2 linked regions of the Mytilus edulis genome follow. The protein of the gene in region 1 purifies or fractionates together with the protein of each later gene. This does not show direct contact. Links are inferred from orthologs where the notes say so. Each region holds a gene or a part of one and is shown in the gene's direction. Other genes may lie near its edges. The genes, in order: iron-sulfur cluster assembly 2 homolog, mitochondrial-like; putative transferase CAF17 homolog, mitochondrial.

Region 1 (11,708 bases):
CCCAAACGATTTGAAAAATGGAACAGGAGATGGACAGAAGCAATGTGTGAGAGATAAATAGCTAGGAAAGTTTATTTCAAACAAGAAAGCTTTGGATCTGAAATAAATACTGATGGACACAAGGCAATACATGTTCAACATGTTCATACATTCATTCGTAGATTATAGAGTATCAATATTTTTAAATTCTGACATCAAAATAGCTGCCAACCAATTTTTTTTTCACCATGCATTAATTCGGAATGGTACTATATTACTTCTTTAAATCAATTTACGTCTCAAGATTTGAGATTTGACAAAAAATATACATTATATGCTCCCTAAAATTGTGACATTAGAAATCAATATGAAATGCAGATATCTACAGATTAAAGTCAAATTCTGGGCCATTGTGACCAACTTCTACCAGTTCTAGTTTTAATTCTGACTTGGTTACCAGAAATGTGTATGGAAGAATGGAAATTCCCTTTTCTAGTGATCTGAAATTTCCAGCACTTCTAGTTGTGATAAAACCATTCGGCACAGTAGCCATTGGTTGTAGCCAAAATGCAACAGATGCATTTTTAACACAATTAACTGTTATAGCAGCAAAAAAAACACATCATTATTGGTTAAATTCTTAGTTTCGAAATTTTTGTTGCTGTACATCTTGCATTCCTCTGGAGATTTATTAAATTATTAGAAGATAAATAAATATGGAATGTGTCTGTGGGACACAGTTGATGCCCAAGCTCACATACACCACTATGAAGGAACATTGATCAAGAACATTAATAATGTCACTACCCTAAATCATACTTAATTTGAAATTGTGGTAATAAACAAAGTATCCAAGAATTTTTCCATTTGTAAAGTAGCATAACTTTTGAAAGGTAGAAGTGATGCCATCCAAATTCAAACTTAATCTGTGTTTTGTGGTAATAAGCATTGCGTTTCATAACATTTGATTGAAGCAAACAAATTTTGGGCAAACAGACATTGACAGACTTAAGGAAGGACGTACAAGAGTATAACATAATGCACCCTTAGCATTGCTAGCATGGACATATAAAGTTATTTTTAATTATAATGTCATTTCAAGATATATTTTGGAAATTGATATGTATACAATACATTATATTATTTAAACCGTTTTTTTTTTCAAAAGTGATTATTTTCGAAAGGTTAAATATTTCGCGGTGGTGTCTTGCCATGGCTTTGTTTGGACTTGTTTGTTTGCTTTTTTGGCCTTGAATGTTTTTCCCTAATATTTTATTAACTGTGCATTTGCATTCAGATATCGCAGATCAAATTTATTCTTTCAAAGTGTGTTAATTTACGTTTTTTGATTGAGTTGGGCCTTCCAATTGATATTTTATTGTGTGTTTTTCTATGTTGTGGTGTTATGCTATTGCTTCAGAAAAAAAGGATAAGGTTTGGTACCATTTAAATGTTTAATCCTGCTGCAAATGTTTGCACCTGTCCTAAGTCAGGAATCTAATGTACAGTAGTTGTCGTTTGTTTATGTAATTTATACATTTTTACACGAAATAAGTCATTCATCCTTTAAACAAGTCATAGTATTATTTTAACTGACAATTTTTTTTCTTTTTAATATGATGAGCGCCAGAATCAGAAAAAATTATTTCACTGATCGCAAGAATGATAACTCTAACAAGTTAATGGCACAACAGTCAGACAAGACAGTTGGGAACAGACTTCATGAAAATGCTTTATGATCTTTAGGACCTTAGGTGAAGGTCAAGTAAACATTCAGTAAATTTCTTTACTGCAATAAATTTTACTAGACTCCAATAATAAAGTAGTGCATTCGAATCAGTAGCTGGTGAATATCCAAATTTACATTACAGAAGGGAGGGTAAGGTTTTTTTTGTTCAAATATTTTTACACATGACTTTGAAAACAAAGTGCCCTGTAGCTTGGAAATAAAAGCTTGCAAGCAACATGAGCAATTTGTCTGTTGCTTCTCCCTTAATGCATATGCTGATGAAATTTGCGAAATTTTCATTGACCATTTTTAACGTTAAGTATTAAGTTGGACCAATGTCATGAATGTGCAACTTAATCACATGGCGTAACATTAGTCTGATTTTCCCATGTATATAGTCCAAATAATTATGACGTCTTGAAAGGCTATTATAATTTTTTTCTTTGACGCCTTACATCAACGTCATAATGCTGAAGCCGCCATTTTCGGTTGGACTTTGAGAGCATATTTTGCTCTCAACTTTGAGACCCAATTTAGCCATCAAATTTTCAATGAAGGCTAAAACAAAATGCATATATTAAAATTCTTACCTTTTATGTGTTTGTTTGTGCAAAATATTTCCAATTAATCCCTACAGAAATAATAATATAAGTAACAATTCCATCCGAGGCGGGAATATGTCGACTGCATTTTTTAAAACGTTTGTCTGATTTCTTTTTAGGAGATTATAAAATAATTTTTACACCAAACTCGGTAAAACCCGAATTTCCGGAACCATTGTTTTACATTATCCGGAAATTCAGGTTGGTCAAAATGTACCGAGTTTGGTTCAAAAATATATTTTATACACCTTTAATGAAGCATCTTGAGGAGAAATCAGCTTAACGTTTTTATAAAGCAGTAAATTCCCTATCAAAGTCCAACTGAATATATGAGTTTGGCGTTATGACGTTGATGTAAGGCGTCAAAGAAAAAAATTATAATAGCCTTTCAAGACGTCATAATTATTTGGACTACCATGTATATGTCCCATGTTACTTGTCATTTTACAAAAAAGAAAAAAATATAAAACTCTTATTAATTTATAATAAATTTACTTAATATCTAAATTTGATATGTTATATACTGAATTCATTTTCTATATGACAATAGCATTGGCAGGGGTACAATGCTATTTCCATAATTCCCATCATATCATAATGTATACATTATACATACTAAAACTTATATAAAATATCTGACATTTAAACAATATCTGTTGTGTATTGAAGAAATAGTTTTCATCAATATACTATAACTGGTATGTATTTATGACAACATTGTGTTGTTTATTGTACATGTGTGTATTGGTGTCAGAATGTATGTTAATTATATGGGGTAATACCTTCAGTTGATTCGGCATTATAAAGCTGTATAATTATATGTATCTTTCCTGTTGGCTCCAGATCAATCTACAAAATAAATAACAACATATTTAACTAAAGATTTAAAGCAATACATTGTTTTTATTCAGTCCAAATTAAAACAGTGATTCTAATAATATCTTTTTCTGATTTGTGTATTCCGAAAGTCATCCATCTTGAAATTTTGATATGCATTCGCTTCAGCAGCAAACATAAATAAAAAGAAAATAAGTCTTAAATTGAACTCACCCACATGTCTCTCGTTTTCTGGTCTTTTATATCATCAAAAGAAAGGAAACAATTAGCCACAAATTCGTCCGGAGGAATGGCAGCATCATGGAAAACTGTCAGTCCGATAGTTTGGCCATTATGGACTTCCAGATGAAAATCTTCATTCCATACTGGTTTTAAAGTTTTTGGCTTTGTTGACGTCCTGTAGATATGAATGTCATCTAGATCTATTGAAATATACGGGTCAATTAACTGTACGGCCTTAGCTACACTCATCTGAAGGCGAGTGGCACAATCAGTGGGTCGTAGATCGACCGCTTCGCAGATTTTTAATTTCATTGATCCAGTGAAAGATGCCATTTTGGGTAATTTCCAGACATTAAAGCGATATATCCACACACAACGTTAAGAATTCGGTATATTATATAATCGTGTCATGACAAATTGTGTGGCAACACTGCCATCGAGTTAAAAAATCATCCGTTGTATGCACTGCTAATTCACGGAAGTTCTACAATACTAATGGGAAAGGAATAAGCAGGTGTAGGTGTTACGCATGCGCTAAAATAGCAATTAGCGACCTTCAACTTCAAAGAAAATATATATTCTAATATCGGACTAAAATATATATACAGATTAAAAATAATTTCAATATATGTACATTGTCATAATTTTAAATAAAAGGGACAAATCATTTGAAACTATTTATGATGATGATTAAAATCTGGAGCCGTAAAATGTAAAAAATTAAAATGTTCATGATAATTATATCTATTGGCTAGGGTTTTGAATAATAGTCCTATAAACAACATTATTTTTTATAAGTAATAATATAGTTCAATAACGAAAAATGCGTATATTTCAATTCTGATTTTAAATACTTTAATTAACATACGAAGAGTACCCGTGTCTCTATGACGTCCGCATCATGAGTAGAGGTGTTTTCAGTGACGTCCTCGCTTAATTGACGTCCGCGTTTTTTCATGTTTAAAATAACGCTAGAATCGGGAGAGCAAACAATACTTTTTTTATACGAATACTCCAAATATGCACAACTATGAGTACATTGGTTTGAATGGGTGGTCTTCAATTAATTGAATTCCGTTTAATTTTTTGGAGGACTTTTAAGAAAATTTTAGTATAGAATAGAATATAATATTTTTATTTCCCAAATTACAGGGCGCATAAAGGGCATAAAATCCGATACAATTGATTTACATAATTGGTTAACAACAACAATAATAGAGGCATATACATATATATTTGGAATATAAGCAATTGGTCATAATCAAGCTAAAAACCACATATATATGGGAATAGAAGAATAATAAACTTATATTATATATGAATTTATTCTCAAATTATTTACTTAACTTAGTGTCAGTGTTCATACCTGATCTCTTTATCTTAAAAAAATAACTCATTTTTGCTCTTTTTTTTTTTCGTCCATTACTTACCATTATTCTCTATTGTGTACCAGTAACACTTGAAGATTGGGGACTAACAATTTATGATTTAAAATATTGCCTTTTAAATCTCAATATATATATATACTTTGCGATCCCCTGGTGCTGTTGAATATAATAGTACACGCACTATTCTCAATTAAAGGGTTCATATAGAGCATAATTATATCTACAAAGTTCATGCAATATACATCATCATCATGCACTAATATTTGCTGCATTTTATTCTCATTCATTGATGTATTTTCCTGCTCTGGACTAGAAAAAAGTGAATGTTTTAAAATCCCGTTTTAGAAGAATAATAAAATATTTCAACGATAATAGTTCTTGTAAAAAATATTACTTTATATTTTCCCTGACAGTCATAACTTTTAAATCTGACAAGACATACCATTTCATATTGAAAGTTATCGTGTTCTTATGGACGACATCAAAACATGCAAAAGATCGATGTAGGATAACAAACTTAAATCAAATAGTTTGGGGTGGGGGTTAACATTGCTGCAAGTTTTGTTAATTTAAAATCGATTTTACATATATCCATATAGGTAAATCAATTTTTCCCAAATTAAGTTAAGAGGGGGGTGGGGGCAGGGGGTCAGTGAAAAAACTATGTGAATTAAGTTTTTTTTTATCCTTCATTGAACTTTTGATGTCGTCCCTTAGCATACCAGAAAACTTACTTGCGGAAATTAAAATTTGAGCGGGACCTTAAATTAATTTATGACAATATGGCCCTTCCTTCGAGTACTATATGAAACGGTTTTCAACAACAAATATGTACAGAATAATCTTTTTAATAAAAATCTGCAACTTTAGTTTCAACATGTGCGTGTCGAGCTATCTGAAAAACCATTTCTTAAGCCTGGCAATCACAATCAATGGAAGCTTGGACCAATATGAATATTATCATGTATTAATGTATCATGTATTTAGTCCGAGATAGAACTGAGGAAAGTTAACAATACGAAAAGTACAATTCAGTATGCAATAATATTTAGTTTATGAAATTCCGATCGAAAAAAAAGCACAAAAAAAGAATCCAACATTGTTTTGCGACTTTGCCAGTCCAGAAAATTTAGTACATTTAGTGTTTTAATATAAAAAAAAAAGTAAAAACATAAAAATACTGAACTCTGAGGAAAATTCAAAAGGAAAATTCAAAATCAAAAGGCAAAATCAAAAGTCCAAACACATCAAACGAATGGATAACAACTGTCATATTGCTGACTTGGTACAGGCATTCTCTAATGTAGAAAATGGTGGATTGAACCTGGTTTTATAGCTAGAAGTTTGATGCAAAATTTAGAAATAGAAAGGTTACTTTTAAACTGTAAGTCTAGTGATAAGAGAATTAACACAACAAAGATGAGAATAATTTATTAAATAAAGTATTTATCATAATTAGTGCAGACCATAATTTATTGAAAGAAAAAGGAAAACATTTAAAAATACCTAGAAAAAGACTATGACCATCCTGCAATACATTGGAGGATGAAGCTCATTTCATTTTATACTGTAACAAAAATCTAAACTAAGAGATAACTTTTTAGGAAATGTAGTTAAACCTGGCACTATAATGTGTTATATATATATAGTAGTCTCAGGTTAAATACATGCCAGATTTTCATGATGTCCTCACGGTGTAGAAAATTGAATATTTTCCCCCATCAACTTCAAAACGGAATTTTAATATCCTTTTAAAACTTAAAACAGGTATTAGAATGAGGACATGAGCTCTTTGATTGATTTATCATAAAATATATATATGACTTAGTAGATCGTTAGATTTTTACTTGTGTATGTTTTTATTGGGATATGAAATATATCTGATATGACTTAGTAGATCCTGAGACTACTATAAAAATGTGTTATAGTACTCTCAGGTAGATCGTTAGATTTTTACTTGTGTATGTTTTAATAGGATATGGATTTCTATGGCTTTCATTTTAAAAATGTGTTTGGTGTTTGTTTGCATTCATGTAATTTGTCACAAACTTATATATGTTTAGAGTTAGTTAGTTTATATGACAAACTTTTTGAATAATTTGACTGATCATATATAAAATTTATGACCGTTATGTTCCTGTGTTGTATGCATCACTGTCTTTCGGTATTAAGCCTAAGTAAGAGCTAAAGGGATACAACTCTTGATGGAATGAAGTAAACAAAAACGAAATGACATCTCTTCTGAAAAAAGTGTCATATACGGCTTTCTGCGCAATTAGAAGACAAAATCTTACAAAATACAAGTATAAACAAGAACCTCATAACATCTTGAAGTTTAAAATGTTGCCTTGCTTTTATATATGACATTTTAGCTTATGCAACATTTTAAACTAACAATTTAACAATTTTCAACTTGAAAGACTTAGTAAACATGTTCCCTATGATTCAGTATGATATGATCTTTCTAATTTTAATGCCAAATAAGAGTTTTCCCCCAATTTCCTGGTCCACTGAACATAGAAAATGATAGTGTGAATGGGCCATCTGTGTACATGTACCATGAACGAATCCGGGTCCGTTCGCGCCCATTCACGTTCGCACCCACTCATGTTCGCCCCCTTTCACTTTCGCACCCAAAGTCCGTTCGCACCCTACATGTTCGCGCCCAATTTCAACTTTGTAATCAAGTAGTATTCTTATAAGTATTATTGTTTTCATTGTCTGAAAATAAAGTGATACAGCATTTTTTTGTGTTGAATAAATCTTAATCATGTTTTGGATAGTGTATTTAAAAAAAAAAAAATATTCCTTTCTATTTCTAAATAAAGTGGGATTCTGTCAACGTTTTATTTTGTGTTGAATAACTCTTTATCATGTTTTGGTTAGTGTATTACTATAACATGTATAACTTTGTTTCATATTGACTTGTTTCAAAATGAAGTGAGATTCTGACTACGTTTTTTTTTTTTTTTTGAGTCTTGAATAAATTTTATCATGTTTTGGTTATAATAGTGTATTGCTATATTTTATTGTTTCTTTGTTTCAGCATGTTCAGATCAAAGGGACCAAGCTGTTAAAAACAATTATCTTTTGTGTTTTTCATTTATAATCTTGAATCTTTTACTCATACCAAGCTATAAATACATTCATTATTTACACGAAAGCAATTAAAAACAACAATGATGATTTTCCAACTATTCAACTGGAATTTGAATTAAAATTGGGCGCGAACGTGTAGAGTGCGAACGTGCGAGGTGCAAACGTGTAGGGTGCGAAAGTATATTGGGCGTGAACGGACCTGATACCTACCATGAACACATTCTTATTCACCATGACGTCCATCTACATATTTTTTCTATAAAATTAGTTCTATGTCTAGATTATGTCTTCAAAAAAAATTTTTTTTTTTTAACTTGTACCTAAATGTTGCAGACCGTATGCATACTTTTTCAAAATACCCATATGGTCGGACCTTACGCATACGAAGAAAAGACATGAAAGTAAAAACATGGTATTCAGTTTGACTTTCACATTGGTATCACATCATCAATACATGGTATAAGTGTGAACCAATTGTCACTGGACATTAAGCCAGCAACAATCTATCAACCCACACTGGTATGAAGATATAAAAAAGAAGATGTAGTATCATTGCCAATGAGACAACTGTCCACAAGAGACCAAAATGACACAGAAATTAACAACTATAGGTCACCGTACAGCCTTCAACAATCATGACAATGAGAAAAGCCCATACCGCATAGTCAGCTATAAAAGGCCAGAAAAGATCTTTCAGTTATTACATGTGTGATTCTATGATGACTAGGCTCAGTTTAACAAACTTATACAATACAATACAATACAATATTTTTATTTTCAAATTTTAAAGGGCCCATTAAGAGCATAACATTAATTACAACTTATTACCTTAGAAAACTTGGCCTATAAGAAAGCTTAACCCCTTAAAATAAATAAGATTAACTTTGTTAGTTAGTGAGATGATGGTTGCATAATTTTAGATATTTCTTCTTCTTCTTCTTCCAAGTAAGGAACCGTATTCATCCTGAATGTTTTTGGTCCCGCGAAAAACTTGGCGCATTGCCGGGCAAGGCAGCAAGTCCTCTCAAAGTTATATACATTTAAAACATTCGCCAATTTACAATTAAAATTATGTACACTCTATGCTGTTCATTTCCTTCCAGAGCCTGCTTTCAGAGCAGCTCTGAAACCCTCTATCGAGTCGGCTGATGTTGTTTTAGCTGGTAGTTGATTCCAATCCCTGATGGTCTTTGGGAAGAATGACTGTCCATAGGTTTCAGATTTTGTTCTTTCTTGGTAAAAGCGGCCTATACCTCTGGTCCAGCTGTCATTGGATATTGTTGTCTATCTATATCAATAAGCCCATGCTGGATTTTAAATAGCATACATAGTCTGTTGGTTTTTCTACGTTCTTCCAGGCTTTTCCACTGTAATTGTTTAACCATGTGTGTTACACATCCAGGTGTTCGGTCTTAGTAGTTATTATGAACAAATCTTGCTGCTCTTTTTATACGACTGCAAAAATTTTAATTTTTCGTCGTATATTGCTATTACGTTGGCGTCGTCATCCTGCGTCGTCGTCCGAATACTTTTAGTTTTCGCACTCTAACTTTAGTAAAAGTGAATAGAAATCGATGAAATTTTCACGCAAGGTTTATGACCACAAAAGGAAGGTTGGGATTGATTTTGGGAGTTTTGGTCCCAACATTTTAAGAATTAGGGGCCAAAAAGGGCCCAAATAAGCATTTTCTTGGTTTTCGCACTATAACTTTAGTATAAGTAAATAGAAATCAGTGAAATTTAAACACAAGGTTTATGACCACAAAAGGAAGGTTGGGATTGATTTTGGGAGTTGAGGTCCCAACAGTTTAGGAATTAGGGGCCAAAAAGGGGCCCAAATAAGCATTATTCTTGGTTTTCGCACCATAACTTAAGTATAAGTAAATAGAAATCTATGAAATTTAAACACAAGGTTTATGACCATAAAAGTTTTGGTCCCAACAGTTTAGGAATAAGGGGCCCAAAAGGGTCCAAAATTGAACTTTGTTTGATTTCATCAAAAATTGAATAATTGGGGTTCTTTGATATACTAAATCTAACTGTGTATGTAGATTCTTAATTTTTGGTCCTGTTTTCAAATTGGTCTACATTAAAGTCCAAAGGGTCCAAAATTAAACTAAATTTGATTTTAACAAAAATTGAATTATTGGGCTTTTTTGATATGCTGAATCTAAACATGTACTTAGATTTTTGTTTATGGGCCCAGTTTTCAAGTTGTTTCAAATCAGGATCCAAAATTATTAGGGCCCCGCCAAAGGCGGGTCCCCTATAGTGATCAGTCTGTCCGTCCATAACACTTTGTGTCCGCTTCATATCTAGAGAACCATTATGATTTCATACTTTATACTTTACATGTTTATTAACCACCACCAGAGGGTGTGTCATGATATATGTACAACTTCCTAGGTCAAAGGTCAAGGTAAAAAAACTTTGGTTTCAGTTGACAACCCTTTGTCCTGTTGTGAAGATCATGTCCGCTCTATATATTGAAAACCGATATGATTTCAAAGTTTATACTTGACATGTATATGAACCAACACCAGAGGGTGTGTCATAATTTATGAACGACTGCCTAGGGCAAAGTTCAAGGATCAAAAACTTTGGTTTCAGTTGACAACCCCATGTCCTATGGTAAAGATTGTGTCCGCTCTAGATCTTGAGAGCCGTTATCATTTCAAAGTTTATACTTGACATGTATATAAACCAACACCAAAGGGTGTGTCATAGTTTATGTGCAACTTCCTAGGTCAAAGGTCAAGGTCAAAAACTTTGATTTCAGTTGACAACCCCATGTCCTATGGTAAAGATCGTGTCCGCTCTATATCTTGAGAACCGTTATCATTTCAAAGTTTCTACTTGACATGTTTATAAACCAACACCAAAGGGTGTGTCATAATTTATGTACAACTTCCTAGGTCAAAGGTCAAGGTCAAAAACTTTGATTTCAGTTGACAAACCCATGTCCTATGGTAAAGATACAATTTTTTAATGCACATTATTCACAGCGGGGCCCACAGAGATGACTCCCATCTCAATGATATCTAGTCATTTTAAGTATTGTGCAATAGCAAGAAATTTTCAATTGCACAGTATTCAGCAATAGCAAGAAATCTTCAATTGCACAGTACTGTGCAATAGCAAGAAATTTTCAATTGCTCAGTATTGTGCAATATCAAGAAATCTTCAATTGCACAGTATTGTGCAATAGCAAATATTTTCAATTGCACAGTATTGCGCAATAGCCAGAAATATCTAATTGCACAATATTGTGCAATAGCAAGAAATTTTCAATTGATTGGAGTTATCTTTCTTTGTCCAGCATAGTAGTTGAGTCAACTTAAATCATTGTTTTATACAATATAAAATTGAGAAAGGAAATGGTGAATATGTCAAAGCGACAACCACCCGACCATAGAGCAAACAACAGCCGAAGGCAACCAATGGGTCTTCAATGTAGCGAGAATTCCCGCACCCGTAGGTGTCCTTCAGCTGGCCCCTAAAATATGCATAATAGTACAGTGATAATAATATACAATGTATATTCACTTTTACTACCAACTGATAAATTAAAACAATCTTTACCATTCAGTGGGGGGGGGGGGGTTAAATTTTTCTCATTTCAGATTTCATAAAAAAAAGAAAATTTCTTCAAACATTTTTTTGAGAGGATTAATATTCAACAGCAAAGTGAATTGCTCAAAGGCAAAAAAAATATTTTAAGTTCATTAGACCACATTCATTCTGTGTCAGAAACCTATGCTTTGTCAACTATTTAATCACAATCCAAATTTAGAGCTGTATCCATCTTGAATGTTGTGTCCATACTTGCCCAACTGTTCAGGGTTCAACCTC
Region 2 (11,718 bases), on another chromosome or scaffold:
AAACTTTCAATATCAAGATCAGTTTTTGCTGATTTTTCCTTGTTTGTTCTACTTCTTTAAAGACTTTCCACAATTTTTGCAATGAATTTAGTAAAAAATCCAAGGTATTGAAGTGTCAAGGAATATTGACCCCCCTTTTTTTCATCTGGTGTCAGTAAAGTACTACAAATTGATCAAAAGTGCAGTCATTGTCATTTAACTGTGTTTATTTACATCAGTTAATAAAATTTAAGATATAAAAATTCCATTTGGAATAATAAATGGTACTTTTGTGAGTTTCTGCAGTGTTTACATTAGGCTATATATATATATGCTATCTGCCAAGTACATATTATGACGCAATGATATAAGGGGTAAAAATCAAATAATTTCATTAAATCTTCATGACAAAATTTGTTTGGGGGTAGTAAACAACCTATGTTTCAATGTTTAACACCACAGAATAATTTTCTGTGGATTTATAACATTATTTAGGACATTTTTTATATAAAAGCATATTGTCAGGGTGGGAAAAGCTAAAAATAGCACAAACTCAAGTTTTAGGCTCTAAATTTGCAATATGTGACATTCTGCCCCCAAAAAGATTGAAATGTGGCTACTATTATCTCAAATGATCAGTTAAGACAAAAAAAAACAATTGTTTTCTGATTTTGATGTTTCACCGCATTTTGCTTAAAGGTGTCAGACCACCAATTAAAAGTCCCTATCTGTTCAACCAAATTTTGCAATTTTCATAGCTTTCTAAATTTTTTATCTTAAGTTTAACCTCTTACAAACCAGGTATGTCCTGAATCGTACAGGTATCACCTTTCTTCATGCCAATTTTCAGCATACCTTTAAAGCCATATAAGAAAGAAGAGACCTTCCGAATGGATGTACCACTAAAAATAACCCCTGGTTTTCTTGAAATCTTAAATTAGTATACTATGGAGCGCATTAATCCTCAATTTTTAATGTCAACTCATAGACAAGTAAATTTGGGCTCAAAATAGTCTTAATATATTTCTCTTTCACCAAAAGTTTCATTTCTGCAAATTTGTTGGGTAGTTTAAGTAAACAATGACATCAAATGCACTATTTTTTGTTCGAGTAGGCCTACTTTCACGTTCTAAATTTGAGGGAGTAATTGATCGTAATTGGTGGTGTGACACCTTTTTGTAGTTTTTTTCCCCAAAATAACTCAATCTGAATAATCATAAGAATGGATGACAAATGCGACTATGCAAGTAACCTATAGGACACAGAGGCATGGTGATTGATTTATTGTGGAAGGAAGAGAAGCGACACACAAAATGAGGTCTTCTCGTTTAATAGTATAGATTTCCTGTCCGTGTACTGATCCAGTTTTTGCTTCATACGAAAACATATGACGACGTTTTTGACATACAAAAATCACAAAATAATCGGAAACAATACAAAAATCGTATTAAGCCGTGACAAAAAAATCTCAATACCTTAAAAAATTCTACAGAACATGCCTTTCAAATTTGAGTATACATGTGAATAAAAACTCAACAGTGAAAAACGTAAGCAGCGAAAATTGTTATTAGTACGAAAACACATCACACTTTAAATAAGTTTAAAGGGTGCCGTGAGTGAGCATACAATCGACAAAAGCACCTTTTAATGATCTGGAATATTTCACGACAATCTATGAAGGTTTATAAATTGTAATTTGAGCATGTAAAACAATTAATTGCGCGAAGAAGAGCCCGACTGTTATTCTATCAGAAAAGAACAGTAAAATGAACGAAAACAAATGCTTTCAAAATTTTAGCTTTAGACATTAGTCATAGAAAAAGCTTCTTCAGCATTTTCATAAAATTCAATGAAGGTTCGACAAGTAGTTAATGTAATTGAGAAATAACAAAATGTAAGCCCAAACTGCGACCACTTATTAATTGTAGAAAGAAAAACATTTTGTACTTAAAATGCGGGAAAATTAAAGATATAGTTGCATTATAATATTGCTCTGAATACTCTTTTGTTCATAAACAGTTTCTGTCCAACTTTCGTAAAATTTCATGGAGAGTCATTCAAATGACTTTATCCACATTCGGAACCTAAATATTGACGCCGCTTTGTCTCGCTTTTGGGACATAACTCACAGGCTCGACAAAAATACAAACAGCATATCGAATCTGAGCAGATAGTGAATTGCTTTGAATATAAGAAAAGTACGTAGAATTCATAGTAGATTCAGACTTTTACAAAAGATTCGAACAAATATATTAAATGATCTATTTGAGTAAATTTAGTCCCTTTTTAGCTCACCTGGCCCGAAGGGCCAAGTGAGCTTTTCTCATCACTTGGCGTCCGGCGTCCGTCGTCGTCCGTCGTCCGTCGTCGTTAACTTTTACAAAAATCTTCTCCTCTGAAACTACTGGGCCAAATTTAACCAAACTTGGTCACAATCATCATTGGGGTATCTAGTTTGAAAAATATGTTCGGTTACCCGGCCAACCAACCAAGATGGCCCCCATGGCTAAAAATAGAACATAGGGGTCAAATGCAGTTTTTGGCTTATAACTCTGAAACCGAAGCATTTAGAGCAAATCTGACAGGGTTAAATTGTTTATTAAGTCAAGATCTATCTGCCCTGAAATTTTCAGACGAATCGGACAACCGGTTGTTGGGTTGCTGCCCCTGAATTGGCAATTTTAAGGAAATTTTGCCGTTATATTGTTATTATCTTGAATATTATTATAGATAGAGATAAACTGTAAACAGCAATAATGTTCATCAAAGTAAGATTTACAAATAAGTCAACATGACTGAAATGGTCAGTTGACCCCTTTAGGAGTTATTGACCTTTATAGTCAATTTTTAACCATTTTTCGTAAAGATTAGTAATCTTTTACAAAAATCTTCTCCTCTGAAACTACTGGGCCAAATTATTCCAAACTTGGCCACAATCATCTTTGAGATATTTAGTTTAAAAAATGTGTGGCGTGACCTGGCCAACCAACCAAGATGGGCGCCATGGCTAAAAATAGAACATAGGGGTAAAATGCAGTTTTTGGCTTATAACTCAAAAACCAAAGCATTTAGAGCAAATCTGACGGAGTAAAAGTGTTTATCAGGTCAAGATGTATCTGCCCTGAAATTTTCAGATGAATCAGACAAATGGTTGCTGGGTTGCTGCCCCTGAATTGGTAATTTTAAGGAAATTTTGCTGTTTTTGGTTATTATCTTGAATATTATTATAGATAGAGATAAACTGTTAACAGCAATAATGTTCAGCAAAGTTAGATCTACAAATAAGTCAACATGACCGAAATGGTCAGTTGACCCCTTTAGGAGTTATTGCCCTTTATAGTCAATTTTTAACCATTTTTCGTAAATCTTAGTAATCTTTTACAAAAATCTTCTCCTCTGAAACTACTGGGCCAAATTATTCCAAACTTGGCCACAATCAGCTTTGGGTAATCTAGTTTAAAAAAATGTGTCCGGTGATCCGGCCATCCAACCAAGATGGCCACCATGGCTAAAAATAGAACATAGGAGTAAAATGCAGTTTTTGGCTTATAACTCAAAAACCAAAGCATTTAGAGCAAATCTGACATGGGTAAAATTGTTTATCAGGTCAAAATCTACCTGCCCTGAAGTTTCCAGATGAATCGGACAACCCGTTGTTGGGTTGCTGCCCCTAAATTGGTAATTTTAAGGAAATTTTACTGTTTTGGGTTATTATCTTGAATATTATTATAGATAAAGATAAACTTTAAACAGCAATAATGTATAGCAAAGTAAGATTTACAAATAAGACAACATGACTGAAATGGTCAATTGACCCCCTAAGGAGTTATTGTCCTTTATAGTCAATTTTTAACAATTTTTATAAAATTTGTAAATTTTTACTAATTAACATTTTCCACTGAAACTACTGGGCCAAGTTCATTATAAATAGAGATAACTGTAAGCAGCAAGAATGTTCAGTAAAGTAAGACGTACAAACACATCACCATCACCAAAACACAATTTTGTCATGAATCCATCTGCTTCCTTTGTTTAATATTCACATAGACCAAGGTGAGCGACACAGGCTCTTAGAGCCTCTAGTTATTTAAAATTATATAATCCATTGAAAAAAGAAGCACAAGGATGATGTGCTTTTGACCATTTTTTCTTATTCTATGTCGTTTATTTGTTTTATTTTCAAATTCAACTGTACGCTCGGGCGTTTTGAGGTAAACGTAGCTACGCGCATGACGGTCATGACTGTCGATAGTCTTTTAAGGATGTACTTAGGTGAGGTTTGGTAAAAATTAGGAAATTAAGAAATTAAAAATGATACTATAAGCTGGTAGAGCATCAATTAAGGATAAAGATAAGCTAATCATGGACCTCCTTTTCGAGATATTTGAGATTTAAAATATGGCGGGAAAAGACTGACTCGGACTTTTACATTATATTTGCATTGGTATCATTTGGGTCTCAAAACAAAAGAAAGAAAACCAAGAGTCTTCTAAAATTTTGGTAAATGACCTTTCATGAGCTATTAAGTCTTATATGAAAAAATAAATGGGTGTTATGGGGCAAAATAATTTACATTGTATTGTATGGAGAAACACCAAGGAGTCCGAACATTTGACACAAATTCATGCCACAACTTCACCTAAGTACATCCTTAAGCAACTGGACAGAAAGTCAATTAAAACGGCATTGGGCGATTTATTTTAGGCAGTGTGCTGTTTGTTATTGAACCAATCGGCTGAACTTCAGAAATATATACCGGTATATTAGTATGACCGAGATAACATTTTTATTAGTGTCATTGGACAAAACTACCCTCAGACTAATACATAAAATACTGACGTTTTCAGTGGCGGATCCAAGGGGTTGGGGGTTGGAACTCCCCCCTTTTTTTGGCCGATCAATGCATTTGAATGGGAATATATAGTTGGAAACCCCCCCCCCCCCCCCCGTTTACTCTGAGTTGGGACCCCCCCCCCCTTTTTAAAATGGCTTGATCCGCCACTGGTGTTGTATATTAGCTATTTTTGGCAACAACTGTTTTTCAGCTGAAATTTTTTTTCTATTTGCTTTTTTATATTTAAGATTAGAAAAGTGATGTGTCGATATACTTGTATGAAGTCCATTGTTCAAAAGCTCGAAATGATTCCAGACCGTATCTCATAATTAATTGATCAGTTCAAGTTTTTTCTTTTTTTTCTTTCCTTTTCATGAAGCATGTTATAAAATACTGTTCCCGCGAACCAATTTATTTGGTTTTTCAATGCAATCAATTATACTATTTTTTTTAAAATTTAACACTATAAGCAAGGACGTATAACTAAGTGGGAATTTGCATTTAGAATATTTTTTTGCCATGTACTTGACCAGAATATTTTTTTTCATCAAATTAGGGATCAGATTAGATTTTATTTTATTAAACAAAACATACCCTCCCCCTAAAAGGTTAATTCCCTAAGTATACCTAAATGTCTATAGGCAGAATGACTTTAGTCTTTAGTCTTTAGAAGTGTCAACTTGACACTATAATCTCTATCTGTAATTTCGATCACTCTGGTAATTTTATGTCTCTATTGTATTAAACTCATTAGTACATTTGTATTTATGATGTGGCACTGCAGAGAAACTAAATAAATAAATAAATAATTAAATAATTAATTCAAAAAAAAAAAAAAAAAAAAAAAAATCAAAAAAAGAATAAATAATTAACCCTTATAGGACCTTAACTATCTATTTTGTGAACCTTCCAGTATCTTTAATAAAAACCTAGTACTTCTGATTCAAGTGTTAGTTTTGATGTTATGAAATAGAGTGCAGAGCGGAGTTTTTCTCTAGCCTCCTCATAATTCTCACAATCCAGAAGATAATGGTCAACTGTTTCTTTTTGTCCACACCTGCATTTGTCGATGAGTGCAGGGCATATCATTGATTTATATGAGTTTAAATTGCAATATATGACTGTGTCTGTAATTTTGATGGGTTCTCCGGGAACTGATTCGGTACTTTGTGACGCGTTTTAGCATGTTTCAATTTTGAGTGATCTCCCCTGTCCTATGATTGAAAAGTTGACTTTCAGTTTCACTGTTTTCTTCACCTGTCTAGCTTAAAGTGAGCTTTCAAAGATTTGACAAGTGCATCTGTTCTGAAGATAGAGTAACAATATTTCTTGATTATTAAAAATTCACGTAAGGCCCAGCTTGCTCGACAAATTATATCCCATAAACAAAGCTGTCAGGCAGTAGTGACCCCAGTGACAGTGTTATTTACATGTACCTAACTGTCACTCGACTCCTAACGTATATAGAGAAAGGTCAGGAAAAAAATGTTTTTTTTCTAATATATAGTTTCAATATGTCATGTATGTATACCAAATAATATGAGGCAGGCATTACCTGTAAATGGGGATGAAGTCTGTATGAATTATTTTTTTATACATGTACAGTGTTCTCCCCAGGCCATTTTAGCGTCGCAGTACCGCGACACTATTTTTTCACCGTGATGCTATAACAATTCCCGCGACGCTATAATTATTTCCGCGACGCTATAATTATTTTGAAGATGCTATTTTACTTGTCCTCAATTTTGAACTTTCATCAATTATCGAGTATGATCATAAAAATGATATCACCCTTAATTGTAATCCCTTTAAGTGGGACACTAAAGGCAATTAAGAGATTAAATAGCTAGGTGTTAATTGCCCTCAGGGTGATAACTGTTTGGATGCGAATATCCCAAGCCAAGCTGACACTTGTGACATGACTAATACCACGTGTCTGCAATCACCAATTTCGACATGGAAAAATGCAATCACAAAACATTTCGAAATCTACGTTTTGTAATACGAAATTTCAAAGATTGAAACGATTTTTATTTTTTTTTTTAAAAAGGTCCTTTATTTGTGCATCTTTCCAAAAATTACTTTCTTTCTCTTCCGGTAATACGAGAGCGAGAATTTTGGTTTAGAGCTAAACTAAGTTTAATACTTCTTTAAAAAGTTATCATAATTGGCTTAAGTCTATGTTTAATCCATTTAATGCATTAAAAGCGTCTTATTCTTTCACAATCTCTTGTCAAACAATGTTTATTCTCTGACTCATTTTCGTAAATTTTTCTACAGCCGCCATTGCACATTTTTGTGTAAACTGCGGATCGGAACCGGACCAGATATGACAAAAATCTGCATTTTCATGATAGTGGCAACAGATGGACAGTAGACAGAAAAAATATACCAAGAGAGAAAACTACGCATTAACAGACTATTTGTTAGATAACTTTGTTAAAAATACATATCATTTTGATGTAAAGATAAGAAACAACTGGGACTAATTTATTGAGTGCCATGAAACAATGAATTTCATAAACATGATAAAAAAAGTTTTTAAATTGATTTTTTTTGCTACTTTTGCTACTTTATCTTTACTTGATAATATGAGGCAGGCATTACCTGTGAATGGGGACGAAGTTTGTTTAAATTAATTTTTTTGTAACTTAAATATTTGTTAAAAAAAGAAACAGAAATACCGTAACTTTTCCGATTTTGGTTCTGTTGTTAGGGATTTTACTTGTGACGTTATCTAAGTTATGACGTCATGTTCAATGTAAACAAAGAAACGCAATGCATTAGGTAACGTTTATTCATACCAAAGACAAAGAATGATTAAAAATGAAATATTGGTATTGTGTTCCTTGAGTTCCTATATTTTACTAGACTTATCAAAGTCTCACGACAACAAGACCGGAAGAAGGAAGTAGAGTTATGTGTTCTGCGCAGATCCGGAAATTAAAAAACGCGACAAAAAAAAAAAATTGAACGATTTTGAGTTCATTAGTACAATGAAAAATTCGGGAAATTTTCCCGATTTTTTTTTTTTTATTTTTTTTTATTGAATTTTCTACTGTAATAGGGGACTTCGTCCCCATATAATATAAAAATAGTTAATTTTGTGTACTAGATATTTAGTTTTGTATATAAACAGGTTGATCTATAATGAACCATTCATTCATTTGACTTATTGTTGGGTAACTGAAACCACATATTTATTTTTATTTGGCACAAGAGGAAAAAAATAATTCTGTAACAATATATCAATAAAGAAAACATAAACTGAAACAACTGTTTTTGTGGTTATAGTTTAATTCTATTCTCAGTTATGAATTGAACAATATAAACTAAAACATATAAAGGAAATAGAGTATCAACGCGACGCAACAAACGACATTAAAAAAAATACAGTTATTTTTTTTACGCAAAATGTGATGCTATCCAAAATTTCTGGGGAGAACACTGATGTAACTTAAATATTTGTTAAAAAAAGAAACAGAAATACTGTAAAGTTTCCGATTTTGGTTCTATTGTTAGGGATTTTAGTTGTGACTTTACTTCAGTTATGACATCATATGCAATGTAAACAAAGAAACGCTATCATCAGGTAACGTTTTTTCATATCAAGGAATTATTAAAAATGAAATTGGTATTGCGTTCCTTCCTATTTTATACTAGACTGATAAATATATATGTAATCAAAGTTTCATACAAACAAGACCGGAAAAAGGATAAACATTGTAGATTTCTGCGCAGATGTGGGAATTCAAAACATGACATCAAAAAAATTGAACGATTTTGAGTTCATTAGTACAATGAAAATTAAAAAAAAATTTTTTTTTATTGATTTTTCTTCTGTTATTGGGGACTTCGTCCCCATATAAAGGAATTGCACTGACCACAGTCACTTTCAAGCGACTGTGCACTGACACAGAAGGTGACCCCACTCACAGGTGATATCAATTATGTTCCTTATGTCATAATTACAATACCCTTCCCTTTTCACGATTTTGACCTACCGAATTAGACTTTTTACCAGATTTGTAATAACATGAGCAACATGATGGGTGCCACATGTGGAGCAGGATCTGCTTATCCTTCTGGAGCAACTGTGATCCCCCCAGTTTTTGGTGGGGTTCATGTTGCCTAGTCTTTAGTTTTCAATGTTTAACTTTTGTCTTCTGTACTATTATTTGTCTGTTTGTCTTTTTATTTTTAGCCATCATCTCAAACTCATAGATTGAAAACAAACTGACAACACCATGCCATGGCGTTGTCAGTTTGTTTTCAATCTATGAGTTTGACTATCCCTCTGGTATCTTTCTTCCCTCTTCTACGTCTACATAAAATTTTGTAATTAGGTCAATATTGTTAATGGACCTTGAGATTATGTAATTGAAAAAAAAAAAAATACATAATGCCATACATAATTTGGATGCTGTGATTCTTAGAATGGACATATTTGAACAATAAGAACTGTTTCACAAAAGAAATTTATTCAAGGTTATCATGGTTATTGCAGCCCTATTAAATGGGCACCACGATTTCAAGGACAAATTAATATCCCAAGCACAACACAACGGGTGTCACATATGGAGCAGGATCTGCTTACTCTTTCGGAGCACCTGAGATCACCCCCAGTTTTAGGTGGGGTTCATAACTTCATGTTGCTTAGTCTTTAGATATTCTATGTTGTGTCATGTGTACAATGTACTATTATTTGTCTGTTTGTCATTGTTCATTTTTAGCTCACCTGGCCTAAAAGGCGAAGAGAGCTTTTCTCATCACTTGGTGTCCGTCGTCGTCGTTGTCCGTCGTCATTAACTTTTACAAAAATCTTCTCCTCTAAAACTACTGGGCCAAATTTAATCAAACTTAGCCACAATCATCATTTGGGTATCTAGTTTAAAAAATGTGTGGCGTGACCTGGCCAACCAACCAAGACCATGGCTAAAAATAGAATATAGGGGTAAAATGTAGATTTTGACTTATAACTCTGAAACCAAAGCATTTAGAGCAAATCTGACTGGGTTGATTTGTTTATCATGTCAAGATCTAGCTGCCCTGAAATTTTCAGACAAATTGGACAACCAGTTGTTGGGTTGCTGTCCCTGAATTGGCAATTTTAAAGAAATTTTGCAGTTTTTGGTTAATATCTTGAATATTATTATAGATAGAGATAAACTGTAAACAGCAATAATGATCAGCAAAGTAAGATCTACAAATAAATCAACGTGACCAAAATGGTCAGTTGACCTGTTAAGGAGTTATAAACCTTTATAGTCATTTTTTACCAATTTTTCGTAAATTTTTGTAATCATTTACAAAAATCTTCTCCTCTGATACTACTGGGCCAAATTTAACCATACATGGACTCAATCATCATTGGGGTATCTAGTTTAAAAAATGTGTGGCATGACCCTCCAACCAACCAAGATGGCCGTCATGGTTAAAAATAGAACATAGGGGGTAAAATGTAGATTTTGGCTTATAACTCTGAAACCGAAGCATTTAGAGCAAATCTGACAAGAGGTTAAATTGTTGATGATATTAAGATCTATCTGACCTGAATTTTCAGACGAATCAGACAACTGGTTGTTGGGTTACTGCCCCTGAATTTGTAATTTTTAAAGAAATGTTGCCGTTTTTGGTTATTATCTTGAATATTATTGTAGATAGAGATAAACTGTAAACAGCAATAATGTTCAGCAAAGTAAGATCTACAAATAAATCAAACATGACAAAAATGGTCAGTTGACCCCTTAAGGAGTAACAGCCCTCTACAGTCAATTTTTAACAATTTTCATAAATTTTGTAAATTTTTAACAAAATATTTTCCTCTGTAACTAATGGGCCAAGTTCATTAAAGATGAAGAAGTAGCAAGAATGTTCAGTAAAGTAAGATCTACAAACACATCACCATCACCAAAACACAATTTTCTCATTAATCCATCTGTGTCTTTTGTTGAATATGCACATAGACCAAGGTGAGCGACACAGGCTCTTAAGAGCCTCTAGTTAACCATGTCAGTTTATTTTGGATCTATGAGTTTGACTGGTATCTTTCACCTCTATTTTACACACTAATGAATTTACAAAAGAAGCATTCAATTCTGAAATAGAAATATTCAAAAAACACAAAAAAGATACAATATGAATAAAGTAACATTACTTCATATTTAGTTCAGTATAATTCTACAGTTATGGTCTGACATCAAAAGTTATTATCAAAAATGTTAAAATAAGTTTTAGGAAAATCATGTCATGCATGTTAATCTCTCAGGAATAACCAATTTGGATATTGACTTGATGTCAGGAGTCCATAATAATATTTATCTTCCATTTGGTTTCATGCTTTTAGTGTCTGTGTAATGGATTGATTTGATATCAAAATAAAAGTTAAAAAAAACAACATTTTAGATGTTTTACAGTTTATACATTTACATCATATACGCTTATTAATTCAGAAACATTATTACTTGCAGATTATCAGATTATTATAATGATTCTGATGTGTTACTGCTAACATGAAGATCCTTCTGAAAACTTTACAACACATCTCATCACGTCTACATGTGGCTCACAGTATTATTGTCTGCAGAAGAAATATTTCATCTAGCTCCTGGACGTTACATGCTCTCAAAAGTCGTGGGCTGATCCAGCTTTCTGGGACAGATGTCAACCCTTTCCTCCAAGGCCTTGTCACAAATGATGTCACAGTACTGGGTCCTGAATGTACCTCATTGCATGCTATGCTCCTTAATGTTCAGGTAACAGTTATGGTTTGGTTTAGTATATAAACAGAACATGGTAAGGGTCAGCTCTACTTATTGAAAAAAATCAAAGTATATTATTTGAGTCATCATATCGGAGTAAACATGAAATATAAGGATTTATACATATTTTCGAACATCCTGGCA

The links.
Region 2: the proteins of iron-sulfur cluster assembly 2 homolog, mitochondrial-like (region 1) and putative transferase CAF17 homolog, mitochondrial purify together in Homo sapiens (co-immunoprecipitation; 4 studies listed by BioGRID and IntAct, with this or other methods). This does not show direct contact. The link is inferred for Mytilus edulis from reciprocal best matches to the Homo sapiens genes ISCA2 and IBA57.

The regions. Positions count from the first base shown.
Region 1 is NC_092346.1:1,251,523-1,263,230, reverse strand, and holds the start of iron-sulfur cluster assembly 2 homolog, mitochondrial-like, read left to right. Parts: upstream 1-6,926; 5' UTR 6,927-6,986; coding exon 6,987-7,060; intron 7,061-11,708. Other genes in the region: calcium-independent protein kinase C-like, read right to left, coding at 3,093-3,159, 3,361-3,702. UniProt on the Homo sapiens protein: Involved in the maturation of mitochondrial 4Fe-4S proteins functioning late in the iron-sulfur cluster assembly pathway. May be involved in the binding of an intermediate of Fe/S cluster assembly.
Region 2 is NC_092353.1:80,593,527-80,605,244, reverse strand, and holds the start of putative transferase CAF17 homolog, mitochondrial, read left to right. Parts: upstream 1-6,004; 5' UTR 6,005-6,286; intron 6,287-11,283; 5' UTR 11,284-11,325; coding exon 11,326-11,568; intron 11,569-11,718. UniProt on the Homo sapiens protein: Mitochondrial protein involved in the maturation of mitochondrial [4Fe-4S]-proteins in the late stage of the iron-sulfur cluster assembly pathway. Operates in cooperation with ISCA2 in the maturation of [4Fe-4S] proteins.